Tamandua tetradactyla: one gene and its partner. The protein of the gene in region 2 purifies or fractionates together with the protein of the main gene of each other region. This does not show direct contact. Links are inferred from orthologs where the notes say so. Each region holds a gene or a part of one and is shown on either strand. Other genes may lie near its edges.

Region 1 (6,878 bases), on a different chromosome or scaffold from region 2:
TATATGGGAACATAGCTCTGCAAGTTTATGCATGTTCCACGCAGACAAGCTGTGACGTCAGATTCAACTACAGAAACACCTACTACCGGCCCTGTGTGCACTTGGGCCACTACTCATCAGGGCCTTAGCACCACTGACCAGGTTTCCAAAAGATTCTGAAGAGTCTCTGTTTAGTCAAGACACTTAATTACAATGTACGACAGTTGCTCTCTCTGTTTATTTAAGTTCTTCCTGTCATTTTCCCACCCAGTCTAGCCCCTCTCAAAAAGCAAATATCTTCCAGGAAGGTCCAGAGGTGAGAGAGGGGATGGGACCCCAAGAGGACAGGAAACTTGCCCAGAAAGTTCTCCAACCCCAGCCAGCTGCCCTCCTCCCAGGAGATTCATTAGTAGTGCACGTTGCTTTACTTGCAGGAATCAGGTTTTCTGACTTCTGCTCTAGTCTCTTTCTAAGCCTTTCTCAGGTAAGTAGGTTAGACATTTCCCAGACAACTCAAAAATCCCATTTCTGTCTCTTCTGGTTTTAGGTGTGTATGTTGATGGGATCACCCCATGCAAAACTCCTCCTTCTCCATTTCCTCCAGGACTTTCTTGGCTGCTGTCTTTTAGAGGATGCTTTTTTAGAAAGTTTTACACACCACCCAGTTTTCAATGACCTTTTCGATAAGTAACTTTTTTTTAAGCAGAAGTATGATTTTATACAATTGCACCCTAGGAAGCCTTATAAAATAAATGTGTAGAGTGACAGCTTCTGCCACTTCCTATAGGTTTCCACACTGCTTGGCATCTGCTGTCTTCTAGGTTAGTAAGCTTCAGGCCCTCCTTGCCTGAGATGACCTTGTAACCAATGTTGCTGATCCCCTCTCACTTACGTTTCCAAAGGTGTGTTTTTGGGGAGAGGAGAAAGTGGCCCAAATGCCCCTAAAAGTCCTACCCAAGTCCTACCTAAGCGTGATTCTTAAATATTTTTTAAGCATCTATTCCACATCAGACACCTTTAAAGGTGCTGGAGGGGACTCCGGGAGCCTGCAATTATAAAGTTGTCTAAAATTAAGCTGAACCTTTTAAGAATTTATAATCTAGGTAGAGAGATGAAAATAGTACGTTTCACCTTTTCTAAAAATCACCGTTTGAGTTTCTTTGTTGTCCAGATCTCACAATTTGAAATGATGTTAAAAAAAATATGTCGTTGAATAAAATGCATGAGGTTAAATCGCCATGGCTACTGGAGGCCTTGCTGCGACTGATGTGTAGATATCTAAATCACTACGTTTCTTAGTATCATCACTCTGTGAATACATTCTGGGCTTTCACCCTAGCAATTCCTTACCCACTTCTGCGCAGAAACCTGTCTGCTAGGTGTATGCTTCTCCCAAGCCTGGGTCAGGGGATAAACTCTGACCCGAAGCATCTTGAGCACCTTGAAAGGTACAAGGCCCAGGGGGGCGCTGCAAAAGCCCGCATGCATACGCCATGCCCCAGGCAGGTCCGCTCCGAGGGTAACCTTCCCGCGCCAGGAGGTGGGGTAGCCAGGCTGCAGCATTCCCGGCCCTGGGCGAAACCTGCTGGCGGGGGGCGGGCGAGCTCCCGCTCTCTCCCTTCTCCCGCCACGACGCTGCCCCTCGCAGCTCGTCAGCCGGCCAAATGCATTCCAGAGCTGTGCACAAGACACATTTCTCCAGGCAGTCCCAGAAACCGGAGCCCGGAGCGGGAGAGGGTGGGAGGGAGCGCGCGGCCGCCGCTGAGGTCACACTCGCGCCGCCTCCCCGCCCTTGGCGGCCCGGCTGTTCCCTCCAGCACACACTTCCCAGGGCCTCGGTCCAGTTCGGTGTAAATGTCTTTTAAACGGAGGCAGCGCTCTCCTCCCCCTTCTCTCCGGCGCGGCCAAAGGGATCCACCGCCAGGGCCTTTAAAACAAAACGAATGAATGAAGGGCGAAGCTCGGCGGGCTGGGTCCACATCGAGCCACCCACCGGCTTGTTCCGCTCCAAAACTCGCCGGCGAAGCCAGCTCGGTGCTCCCGTTTTTTCGCGTTTCTCCTCCGCTCGTGCCAAATCGCAGTCGATTCTGGGAGCCTCTGCTCCCCACATTTCTCCCTCCCCCATTAGTCCCCGTTCGCAGACCAGAGAGGGGGTGGCGGTGGCGGGGGGTGGGGGGGTGAAATAGCTTTTAGAAACCCGATCTGTTGTTTGCGAAACACAATCGCTTTTTTTTTTTTAAAGCGACAGGGTGTCTAGACGGCCACGTGACGAGGCCGGAGCCGGGCGCGCCACTGCGCAGTGGAACCAGCCGAGCACAGGGCCGGGGGGGGGGGGGGGGGGGCGGGAGGCGGCGGCGGCTGGGGGCGGGGGAGGGAAGAGGGAGGGAAGGGGGCGGGGGCGGGAGGCCTAGCGGGAGGCGGCGAGCCCCGGGCACACTAGCTCTCTTCGCTCGACGCACGGAGGAGCCTGTCCCCGAGCCGCGCCAGCCGAGCCAGCCGGGCGCCGTGCTCCGTCTGCTTGCCGCGCGGGAGAGAGCTGCCCGAGACGGAGCCAGCCCGCCGGCGCCGAGCCCCTGAGCGTCCGACCTCGGAGATCCTGAGTGCGGCGCAGCGAGTCCCCAGCGGCGGCAGAAGGACCCGAGCGCCAGGAGAGGGCGGACGGGGGACAAGGAGGCTCCGGGGCGCGACGAGGAGAGCCTCGGAGGAGAAGGCGGCGAGAGGACCCCGGGGCCTCCTGCCGTCGCCGCCGGGTCGGGGCGAGCGGCCCATGCAGGGAGCCCCGGCTGGCAGCCGCTGCCAGAGGAGGGGGCGCCGGCGGCCCCCGCACTAGCGAGCAGCTTGCGCCCGGGAGGGCGAGAGCGCTCCGACCCGCCAGGAGCCCGCCGCCGCCGCGCCGCCCACCCCCGCGCTGTCAGCCCCGCGGGGCTCAGCGGCCGCCGCAGCATCTTCTGCCCCTGCGCCCCCGCCAGCCCCAAGGAAGTCCCCGCCGAGGACCCGGGCCCCGGGAGCGCAGAAGGAAAGACCAGAGACTTGCCTAAAATACCCAGATGCGGAGGATTGAAGCAACCAAGCCAAAGCTTTCTGTGGATTAAAAACATACATATATTTTCTTTCTGGGGGGAGCAGAAGAAAAGGAGAAGACCAGCGGGGCTCTGCAAGAAAAAAGGAGGGATGTAACTCGTGGATACGGTTTTCCACCCCTCAAACATCTTGTTCTACTTTGTAAATATTTTCTTTTTTTAAACCCCAGCTCCAGCCGGACGCCCCCAGACCTCCGGGGTGTGAGAAGGTTGTGTTTTCATTTTGGCTTTGCATATTTGGTTCTTAGGTTTTGAGAGAGCCTCCTTATTTCGCCAGACATCTCATGCGGGGTGAAGTCCACTCGGCCCCCTCCCCCGAGTCTTCGTGTGCACGGAATTCGAGGAGATCCGGTTACTAAGGATATAGAGGAAAAAAATAAATCGCGTGCCTGCTTTTTTTTTTTTTAATTGCCTGCTTCTCCCCACCCCCAAATTAAGTTGCTTAGCAAGGGGGAACGAGTCTTTTTCCTCTCTCCACCGGCACTGCCGAACGCCCTTCGTTTTTTGCCCCCGCGGGTCTTCCATGTAGGAAGCCGAGGCTGGCGAGCCCGACACTCGGGAGCCGCTGCGGGGGGGCGTCTTTTTGTGGCGGCGCGGAAGAGGGCAGGCTCGGCCGCCCCCAGGGGAGCGGCGGCCGCGTTTCTCCGGGGCGCGCCGGGGCCCGAGAGCCGCGCAGGGCCTGGGCCGCGCGGGGTGGGGCAGCCGGAGCGCAGGCCCCTGACCCCCGGCGGGCGCCCAGCGCACCCCGCGCGCGCCCCGGCCTCCGGGAGACTGGCGCATGCCACGGAGCGCCCCTCGGGCCGCCGCCGCTCCTGCCCGGGCCCCTGCTGCTGCTGCTGTCGCCTGCGCCTGCTGCCCCAACTCGGCGCCCGACTTCTTCATGGTGTGCGGAGGTCATGTTCGCTCCTTAGCCGGCAAACGACTTTTCTCCTCGCCTCCTCGCCCCGCATGTTCAGGACCAAACGATCTGCGCTCGTCCGGCGTCTCTGGAGGAGCCGTGCGCCCGGCGGCGAGGACGAGGAGGAGGGCGCGGGGGGAGGTGGAGGAGAGCCGCGGGGGGAAGGGGCGACGGACGGCCGGGCGCATGGGGCCGGCGGCAGCGCGGGCAGGGCTGGCTGCTGCCTGGGCAAGGCGGTCAGAGGTGCCAAAGGTCACCACCATCCCCACCCCCCAGCCTCGGGCGCCGGCGCGGCCGGGGGCGCCGAGGCGGATCTGAAGGCGCTCACGCACTCGGTGCTCAAGAAACTGAAGGAGCGGCAGCTGGAGCTGCTGCTCCAGGCGGTGGAGTCCCGCGGCGGTACCCGCACCGCGTGCCTCCTGCTGCCCGGCCGCCTGGACTGCAGGTTGGGTCCGGGGACACCCGCCGGCGCCCAGCCCGCGCAGTCGCCCTCGTCCTATTCGCTCCCCCTCCTGCTGTGCAAAGTGTTCAGGTGGCCGGATCTCAGGCATTCCTCGGAAGTCAAGAGGCTGTGTTGCTGTGAATCTTACGGGAAGATCAACCCCGAGCTGGTGTGCTGCAACCCCCATCACCTTAGCCGACTCTGCGAACTAGGTAAGAAGTTGTGCTGCCCCTACCCTCCTCACCTCCTCCGCGCCACCCACCATTGTCAACACTCCTGGGGGAAGTGTACATCCCTTCCTGGGAGGAGACTTGGGAAAAAAATGGAAAAGGGACGCGCGGGTGGAGGGGAGACTCGAGGGACATTCCCTGGGGGTTCCCTTCCAGTGTTTCTCGTCTGTTGCCCCCAAGGGGGCTGTGAGCACTGCTCTTGCACACACTGCACAGACATGCGGTTCAAAACTAGGCACCCTCATTTCCGGATCAGCCAGGGGATGCAGAGAAAAGGGAGGGGGCACGCCCCCGCCCCCCCCCCCCCGGAAAGGCGTTAGGATGTGTGGCCGAGTTGGATTTCGTCCAAGTCCTCCAAAGAAGGCTGGGAGAAGCAGGAGTTGTAAAGGATGGAAAAGCCTCCTGTCTTTTAGGAAATACGGACAGTCGCGGCAGGCACAAGTGGCTCAGATACGGCCCTGGTCGCACAGCTTTGGGGCTTTGGGGCGGGCCGAGAGGGTTAGGATGGGAGGCCGAACTTGATATCCACCTCAACTCGGCCAGCTCCAGAGTGAAAAGAAAAACGGTCCCGAGAAGTTACGTCTCCTCTACTTTTTCCTCCCAGCAGAGAAAAGCATAGAAGTGTGTGGAGAGCTGTGTGCCCCGGAGCCCCCCTGTCGTTGCTGCCCCTTAGCGCGCTGGGCCCTGAACTGGGCTTCGGGATTAAGACCCGTAGCCTGTCTCCTTTTATCTTCCCAGCCTCTTCCATCCCTTCCCTTTTCTCCAAGCCTGTGCTGGGGTGGGGGTGGGGTGAGGTGGGGTGCCCCGAGCCGGACTCTTGTAGACACCCCCGGCTCAAGTTCAACCAGGAAAGTTCGGGCCGGTAAAGGGGAACCCCGTGCCCTCCTCCGCAATCTCCCCCCTGGCGGGGGCCGAGCGGAGCGGCCGGGACCGGGATGAATCGCGCCCCTGGTGGGCAGGCCGGGGCGGGGAGCACTGAGATCGGAGTCTGGAGGCCGGGGGGTGGGGGGCTTGTCGCCCCCCGCCCGGTGAACTGTGAATTGCGCGGCCCGGGTCGAGTCGGTGGTTTCCAGCTCGGCCCGCCGAACGCGGCGGCGGCCCCGGCAGACGTGGAGGAGCGGAGCGCCGAGGCTGGCGCCAGGCGGCCTCTTTTGTTTATCTGACAGCTAAATATCAAGGCAATCACCGCCTCGCGGCCCAGCCTCCAACCCCCACAGCTAAGACAAACAGTTGGGCTTAAAGAATGCCTCTGTTATCATAAGTTTCTATCTTTCTCATGGCTCGGCCTTTATTTTCTCTTACTTTTTTAATTCCAGAGTCTCCCCCTCCTCCTTACTCCAGATACCCGATGGATTTTCTCAAACCAACTGGTGAGTAGAGGATTTTTAAAATATTCTTACTGTCTTTAGTTAAGAAGGAAGCCTCTAGAACCCAGGTTTTATTCCTAGGCCAGCGATCTGGGAAAGTGCTGGGCTTCCTTCCCAGCCTGTCGGTTTTCTCTATTGGAAGTTTGGTGGGTTTTTCCGAGTTTTTGTTGTGGCTGGATTTTTAAATTTATGGAGATGTTTCCTAGTTATGTTTATGTTCTATTCTTTTCTCATGTATTTGCCCTGCGTGGCGGAAGTTGGCTCAGCTTTAACACATGGAAGCTTTGGTCCACACAGAAATGTCTTAGGAGCCAAATAGGATAGGTTGGTGGGAAAATTCAAAGTCTTTGCTTTGTGAGTGCCAGGAGAATCCGTGGGAAGATTGGGCAAATAGAAGCAGGAGAAGGCAGTTTAAAAAGGTGCGGTGAAGACTGATTTGGAGGGAGATTTTTAGAAGATTTTAAAGACTTTTCCCCATCTCCAGTCACCTAGGAGTCAGCCTTCTCCGGCCTGGGGTTCTCTCAGAATTCTTGGTAGGGACCATAAAAGTTTTTAGCATAGCTCTGCCTGCCTGTTGCTTTGTCACCGGATGGCACCCAGCCAGGGCAGAAGCCCATTGGAGGCTGGCACCAACCTGCCAACCTGCTTGCGGTTGTCTGCATTCAACTTATGGCTGGCAGCAGGAGGGCTCACCCTATGTAGGGAACAGTGGAGTGGGAGAGGGTCAGCAAAGCTGGGACTTAGAGCTCCAGTTTCCTGGAGCTCCTTCTGACCGTGGGACATTTATTTGCTGAAAGCATGGATTATAACTTTCTTCTTTCCTTGTGCCTGTATAGTGGTGTCTGAAAAATGTAAAGCTTGTGACGTTTTAATTTTGCCAGG
Region 2 (7,284 bases):
TGGATGGGTCTGTCACTAATATGGGGTAGGGAAATGGAATCATCTGATGTTCTGGAGGGGCTGGGCCCTCTAGGTTTCAGGACTTATCTGGTCCAGGGAACCATCTGGAGGTATTAGGTTTCTGGAAAGTTACTCTAGTGCCTGGAACCCTTGTGGAATCTTATAAATTGCCCTAGGTGTTCTTCAGGATTGGCTGGAACAGTCTTGGTTGGGGGTTGGCAGGTTATCATAGGTAGCAAGGTCTACCCGAAGCTTGTGTAAGAGCCACCTCCAGAGTAGCCTTTCAACTCTATTTGAACTCTCTCTGCCTCTGATACTTTACTAATTACAATTCTTTCCCCCCATTTGGTCAGGAAGGAATAGTTGATCCCACGGTGCCAGGGCTGGATTCATCCCCGGGAGTCATCTCCCATGTCGCTAGGGAGACCTTCACCCCTGGATGTCATGTCCCACGTAGGAGGAAGGGTTATGATTTCACTTTCAGAGTTGGGCTTAGAGAGAGTGAGGCCACATCTGAGCAACAAAAGAGGTCCTCCAGAAGTAACTCTTACGCATACCTATAGGTAGGCTAAGCTTCTCCGCTATCTACATAAGCTTCATAAGAGTAAGCCTCAGGATAACTATAAAGTTTTGAGATGGTTTGTTATACAGTTAAGAGAACCATCAGTTATCAAGAGCTAACAATTGTATAAATCAGTAATATAAGTTAAAAAAATAATACAGAAATAAAATAGACAAAATAGTTAGGATGGGCATATGTATAGAACTGCAGCATTCTAAAATTTTTTTAAAGTTTATTTTTCTCACACATTAAGATGCCCATGGGTTAGCATTTAAGTGCTGGTACAGTTGCTCAAGAGACTTATCAAGGACCCAGAATCTCTCCATCTTTATTCTCTACCATTGCGAACTATGACTGCCATCCTTATATTTGCAAAGTGGTTGCTGCACCTCCAGGTATTGCAGCTGTATTCTAGGCAGAAAGAAGGTGAGAATGCAATGAGTCTTTTTTTTTTTTTTTAACGAGGAAAAGAGAATCATTCCCCAAAATACCCTCTGGTAGACTTCTGCTTATATTTCGCTGTCCAGAATGCCACTAGGAAGCCTGGGAAATTGAGACTTTTTAGCTAGGTTAACTGCTTTCCCAAAGGAAATCAGAGTTCTCTTATAAAGAGAATGGAGGAATGGATATGGGTTAGGCAACTGGCAGTCTCTGCTCTGGATTTGGGGGAAAACATCTTAAGGAATAATGCAAAAGGAAAGGCAAACAGTGTACTCAGCATGAAGACTGAGGGGTAGCATTGTGCAGGGATAAGATACTGGAGTAAGAATCTCGTTAGTCCTAGTTACACAGCTGACTTACTGGGGGACTGGTTCTCAGTTTCTCCCCCTTTAAATCAAGACATTGGTGTAGACAACCTGTAGGCCCACTGAAGAGGGTATGGAGACTATGGAGGTAGTTGGCATTTATGATTGACTCCTTATTGCAATAGTGCATTTAGATCTCACAACAAATATGTAAGTAGGTGTCACCCCATTTTACACTAGAGGATGCTAAATCAAAGAGAGATTAAGTAGTGTGCACCGATTCTCACACCTAGTAAGTGACAGTCAGAATTCCAACTAAGGTCTGCAAGACCTCAAAGCCAGAGGCTCCTTTCCACTGCCCATCCTTTCTCAAAAGGTGTAATAAGCTCATCTGTTTTTATTTACTGAATTTTATGGTCACACTTTCCAAAAGAGTGTCTTTCAAAGTGTGGCCTGACCATCTGTAGTAGAATCATCGGGTATGCTTTTTACATATGCAGATTCCTGGAACTCCTTCCAGATCAACTGAAGAAGATTCCCAGACTGGTGGGGGTGGGGGGCATGGGGGATTGACAAGATACAGGAATCTGCATTTTTAAAAACTCCTCGGGTAATCTGGAGACACTTTAAAGCTTGAGAGCTGCCACTTTTAACCTAAAATATATTATTCCATTTTAATGTAGTCTATTTATGGATCTGTGGCTCATGGTACTTTTTTCTTAATATCAGGAAAATCATGTTTTAAAATAGCCTGTTCTTCCTTCCCACTCCTCACTTTCCTGTTGGACTCAGTCAGTTCAATGGAAATACTAAGGAATCAGAGGTATGTCGTGGAAGATGCCCTATCTGAGGCTCTGTAAAGCAAAGGCAGGGGTTAACATGAGCAAAAATCCTGATGAGAATTATACAAAACCGGAAAGGGGATGGGCAAAGGAAATGGCATTAACTAAATATTTATTATGTTCCAGACGCTGTTGCAGACACATTACATCATTTAAGAGACACATGACATGTGATTCAATCCTTTCCATTCGCAAAAAAACTTATTATCCCCATTTTAGAGATGGGGAACCTAAGGGTCAGAGAACAGTCACTTGTCTGAGGTCAATCATTCATTCACTCATTCAAACAATAAACATTTCTTGAGCCCTCTTCTTATGAAGACCCTGAGAAGAACTGCAGTGAGAAGGCAGCCTAGGGACCTCAGGTGTCACAGAACCTGACTTACCCATGAAGTCTCCAATGAAAAAACTGGAATTGAGGGAGCAGGCTGGGGCTGGAGGCTGCCAGAAGCTGTTTCTCCGGCTTGGTCCCCCTGCTGGCAGCCGTGGAGCTCAGCAGCAGCTGCATGCCTGAGTAGGTGGTTTGAAGGATACCTGTCCCTTACCTGGCCGGGGGGTGTGGTCTAGAGTGGAGGAGCAGGTGAAGGGTCTGGAGGAAGGGTCTAGAACTGGCACCTAAAGGAGGATGGGGGAACTCCCAAATCTCATCAAATCTTCTCAGTAACCTTGGGAGGTAGATATTATTTCCAATTTATGGACGAGACACAAAAGCTCAGAAAGGTTAAATGACCTGGCCAGGGAAGTGCCCAGATCCTGCTCCAACACCCCCACCCCTCCCGCTCTGCAGCTCACTGAAGGAAGTCTTTACAGGCCCGGGAAAGGCTCACAGAGTGGCTCTAAAGTAATTTATAAATCGATCGTCCAAGCTGCTGCGGATTCCTGCTACCAACGTTTATTTAATTGCAGGCTCAAATCACACAGAAAATAAAATTTTCTCCTTAAAAGGTTCTGCGGGAAAATGTTCTCTGTTCTATGTAACAGCCTCTTTTGACTGTGTTTGGGTCTGAAGAAAGGACTAGTCTGACAGGAAGAATTACAAATCTGGAGCTCATTTTGGCGTCCCAGTGGGAAGGTGGGTGGAGCGCCTCACTGCAAATTTAGGAATTCAGAATGAAAACGTAGTTGAGTTGATTCGGGTTTTTAGTGACACCTCGAAATTACCGTGCAGGCGTGTTAGAGGCAGCTCAGGATACCCTGACTGCTCTCCCTCCGCCCCGTGGGAGATGGGTGCAGAGAAGGGGAATGTTCCTTCTTTGGGGGTGCAACGTGGGGAGCGGGGGGCTTCCCTTTCCAACCTGGATCAGAAAGTGGGGAGGGGGAAGGAGGGTGGTTTGAAGCCCAGCTCTGGGTCTCTGGGTCTCCTCCTTGTTCCAGGGGGAGGTGGGAGGCTATTTGGGAATGTATCTGAGTTCGGGATCAGGGGTCTGAGGCCAGGATTTGGGGACTTTCTGAGCTTGGAATTTGAGGGGGGTGGTCGGTGCTAGATTGAGGGTGAGCGCTAACAGGAGGAAACAGTGGGACCAAGTCGCCGATGAAGGGCACTGAAGAAGGATTTTGGTATGGGATGGTGTCGGCAGTTGAGGAGTGGAACTGGGCTGGGGGAGCTGAAGCCTGGCTGCAGGGGGTGTCGGGGGTCGGCGTGCAGGGTGTGAATGGAGGTCCGGGTGGGGTCGGGGTCAGGACCAGCTCTGTGCTGCCGCTTACCCAGGGGACTAGAAGCAATGAGTGTCGTGAGGGGCACGGCCTTTCCCGAGAGCGGCTCACACACAGACACACCAGTCCAGGATGGAGCCGGCTAGACGCGGCCCCCACATAGCTCCCCCTCTGGCGGCCCAGACCCAGGGAGCGCTGGGGGCGTGGCCAGCGACCTGGAGCCTGTCGCTCCGGATTGGTGTCCCATGGGCCCGTAGGCGGGGCTCCGGACCGGGCCACGCTCGCCGCTGGCCGAGAGCAGGGAGGGCGGGGCCGGCTGGAGCACGGCAGCCAATGGGAGCGCGGCCCCGGAGCAACTCCAAAAGGCCGAGCGCGGCGGCGGCGGCGGCGGGAGGTGGGGCGAGGCGCTGCTGGCTGTAGCAAGGCGGCGGCGGCCGGGCGGGGCCGGGCCTCAGGCGGCGGCGGTGGCGGCAGCGGCGGCGGCAGCAGCGGGACCATGGAAGCGGCGGCCGCTTCTGCGCGTCCCCGGCTGCTCCTCCTCGTGCTGGTGGCGGCGGCGATGCTGGTCCGGGGGGCGACGGGTGAGCAGCGAGGCGCGCGGGCCGGGCCTCTGGCTCGCTCCATCTCTTTCTCAAACATGGCGCGGGGCCGGGGGCGCAGGTGGCGGCGCCGGGGCCGGGCCACGGCCAGGGCGGGGCGCTGGGCCGGGGCGGGTGGACGCGCCGGGCCGCGGGAAGCTGCCCCCGCTGCGGGCTCCGCGGGCGGCGCCGTCCGGGGTCCGGGGCTGCCTTCCTGGGGTCGGGGCCACCGGGCCGGCCGAGCAGGGCTACCCCCTCGCCGCGCCGGCGCCCTCGGCGTCCTGGTCCCGGGACCCTCGCTCCTCGCGGGTAGATGCCCGCAGCCCCCAGGCCCGGGGCGGGGTCGGACAGGAGCCCCGGAGGCGGGGTGGGGCGGTCGAGTTCTGAACCCAGAGGGCCTCCTCCAGCTGTGGGAGGGGGCGTGGTGCGGCTGCGAACCCCGGGTCAGCCGGGCCGACCCCGCCGAGGGGGGCGGCTTCTCCAGCCGGGGGTGGCTTTGGAAACGGAGCTGCGAAGCTTTGTGTGGCGAGGAGCAGGCCCGGGATGCGCGGAATGTCTGCTCTCGGTGCGGCTGCAAAGGTTTTAGCGAATCCAGTGACCAGACGGCCGCTGATCGTTTCCGTTGTAGAAACTTGAACGTTTGCTCACTCTGCGCGGTTTGGAAGGCTTGAATGAGAATTACTCTGTGAATTGAGCGAATGCTTTTATTTCCTCGAAGAAGAATGTTTGCTAGTGATGGTCCTTATCCTTGGTGACAGGCAGTAGTTTGCAGCAGTCATCCGTGTAGTTGGTTTACAAGGGAGAACGCCTGCTCGCTTTCCCAAAATACTAAATCGGGATGGGGTATAGGTGGTCATCTACTCCGGTAAGGAGTGAAAAACTTCGTATTAGCAACAGAATTAAAATACTGGACACTAAAATATAGGGGCTTAGTGCTAGCAGCTAATATACAGTGAAAGTATGACACCAAATGTTAGGAAAGAAAACAAACGACAATTTAAAAACTTAATTGAAGACCGAGGGTGACAGTTATTATTAGCTCTGATAGCTACTGTCTGTTAAGAGCTGACTGTGCTGTGGATGCAGAGTACACCAAAGCACGTTATCTCATCCTCACAACTAAACCCTCAGGACTAGTGGCGTTTGCCTTATTTTATAGCTGAGAAAACTGAAGCACAGAGAAGGCTAGATTAAGGATTTGCACCCAGGACTCTCTGTTTCCAAAGATAGACCAAAAAGGCACAGCCTATTTTGTTCCAGTCATCTGATGAACACTTGCTCCTTATTATTGAGATTTTGGCCTCACCATTTACATTTCAGTTTGACTTTGTTGTCATTCCTTTCACACTGGGAGTGTGTTCGAGGAAACTGGATTTTTGACATTGGTGTTAGGAGGGGAGCAAGATAACTGGATGGGGAGAGAAGCAGTTTAGTTCCACATCCAGTTTAAATAACATTTCCGTACCACTGTTAACTCTTTTCCACTTATCCTGGCACCTAGCTCTGCGGGGAGCGTTCATGTGCTCACATAGCAGCATCAGGCGCGTTGAATGTACAGAGCAAGCATTGCTCAGTGCATGCCCGGGAGGGGCTTGCACAGTACACTGGTTTGCGGTGTAGAAAGCTAATCCAGATGCTTATGACTCCAAGCCCAGACTTCTTGAACTGGTCCACCTGCCTGGAATGGTTATATTGATATTTCAGCTCAACCTTTTCGTACATGCTGAAGAAGTTAAGCTCAAATGCTTTTTTAAAAAAAATTTTTATGATTTGTCTGCCTTACTCAAGAGCTTGCCATTGTTCCTTATAGTCTGGGTATCAGTTTTATATTTCTCTAAAACAGCCTCTGCTCTCTCCAACATGAATTTCTCTAGAAAAATTGGTTCCCTGTCCCTAGTACACAGTTTAGTACCACAATGTCCACATCTATAGCCCATAGGAGAATACTAGTTGCTTCCTTTTTGCCATCTCTTCCCTTTACCTTGGAAAACATACCTCAAACGCAAGTTTTCTTTATATTAATACCTATTGAATATGTATCTTTCTTTCTTTGTGTGGGTCACCTTAGTCCTTTGTATCAGCTAAGTCCTGCCCATTATCCCTCACATTTGAATTGCTTCCCACTCTTTCTCTGTCTTGTCTTTTCTGTGGGCTACTTCCAAACTCATCTTCCTCCGCCGTTCCCAAAAGGGCTTTACAAGATTTCCCGTTTGTGCTCAGCACTTAGAGCACACGATGGAGGCTGACGTTAGGGCTATCTCCAAATCGCCAGCCAGAAGTCTCACTTCTCACTGCAGCAGCCCCTCAGTTCCAGTGATTTCTGTCTTCCCGCTGACTCCTTACTGTTTAGCCTTTACACTGCATATTTAATTTTGCTCCTTTTCGGGAGTGGGAGTAGGAAGGTTCTCAGTTTTGACTTCCTGTATTCTTTATCTGCTTGAACTGTGTAGGACTTACAGTTGGTGTTGTCTGTTTCTACCCTCTTGCACTGTTATTCCGTATATTTTACATACCCAGAGGGTGAGGATCATGTCTTTTATTTCCTTTATGCCCTCAGAACCTAGTACTGTTTTGTATTCTGTTCCACTTCAGTGTTTGTTGATTAAATGAATTCCATTTGATTGACTGTTCTTTAGTACTTACTGCGTTTAGTATTCTTACTGTTATATGTGAGTGCAGTTTATGTAGTATTAGTTTGTAGTTCCATGTATTTAATCTGGGAAAGTTGACCAGTGAAAAAAGCAATTGGTTACCACATTTATATTTCGTACTTTGCCTAATTCATAACACTGTGAAGATGAAATGAGAAAGAGTTTGTGATTTGGTATTGTTAGTATTGTAATAGGCAGCACTGATGCTCAACCATTGATCCACTCTGCCATATGTGTCTTTTGATTGGTCAG

The links. The genes of interacting proteins can lie anywhere in the genome.
Region 1: the proteins of TGFBR1 (region 2) and SMAD7 purify together in Homo sapiens (affinity purification with western blotting; 19 studies listed by BioGRID). This does not show direct contact. The link is inferred for Tamandua tetradactyla from reciprocal best matches to the Homo sapiens genes TGFBR1 and SMAD7.

Annotation. Positions count from the first base shown.
Region 1 is NC_135344.1:34,120,468-34,127,345, forward strand, and holds the start of SMAD7 (mothers against decapentaplegic homolog 7), read left to right. Parts: upstream 1-3,858; 5' UTR 3,859-4,007; coding exon 4,008-4,611; intron 4,612-5,945; coding exon 5,946-5,999; intron 6,000-6,878. UniProt on the Homo sapiens protein: Antagonist of signaling by TGF-beta (transforming growth factor) type 1 receptor superfamily members; has been shown to inhibit TGF-beta (Transforming growth factor) and activin signaling by associating with their receptors thus preventing SMAD2 access.
Region 2 is NC_135328.1:16,291,545-16,298,828, forward strand, and holds the start of TGFBR1 (TGF-beta receptor type-1), read left to right. Parts: upstream 1-4,265; 5' UTR 4,266-4,299; coding exon 4,300-4,384; intron 4,385-7,284. UniProt on the Homo sapiens protein: Transmembrane serine/threonine kinase forming with the TGF-beta type II serine/threonine kinase receptor, TGFBR2, the non-promiscuous receptor for the TGF-beta cytokines TGFB1, TGFB2 and TGFB3.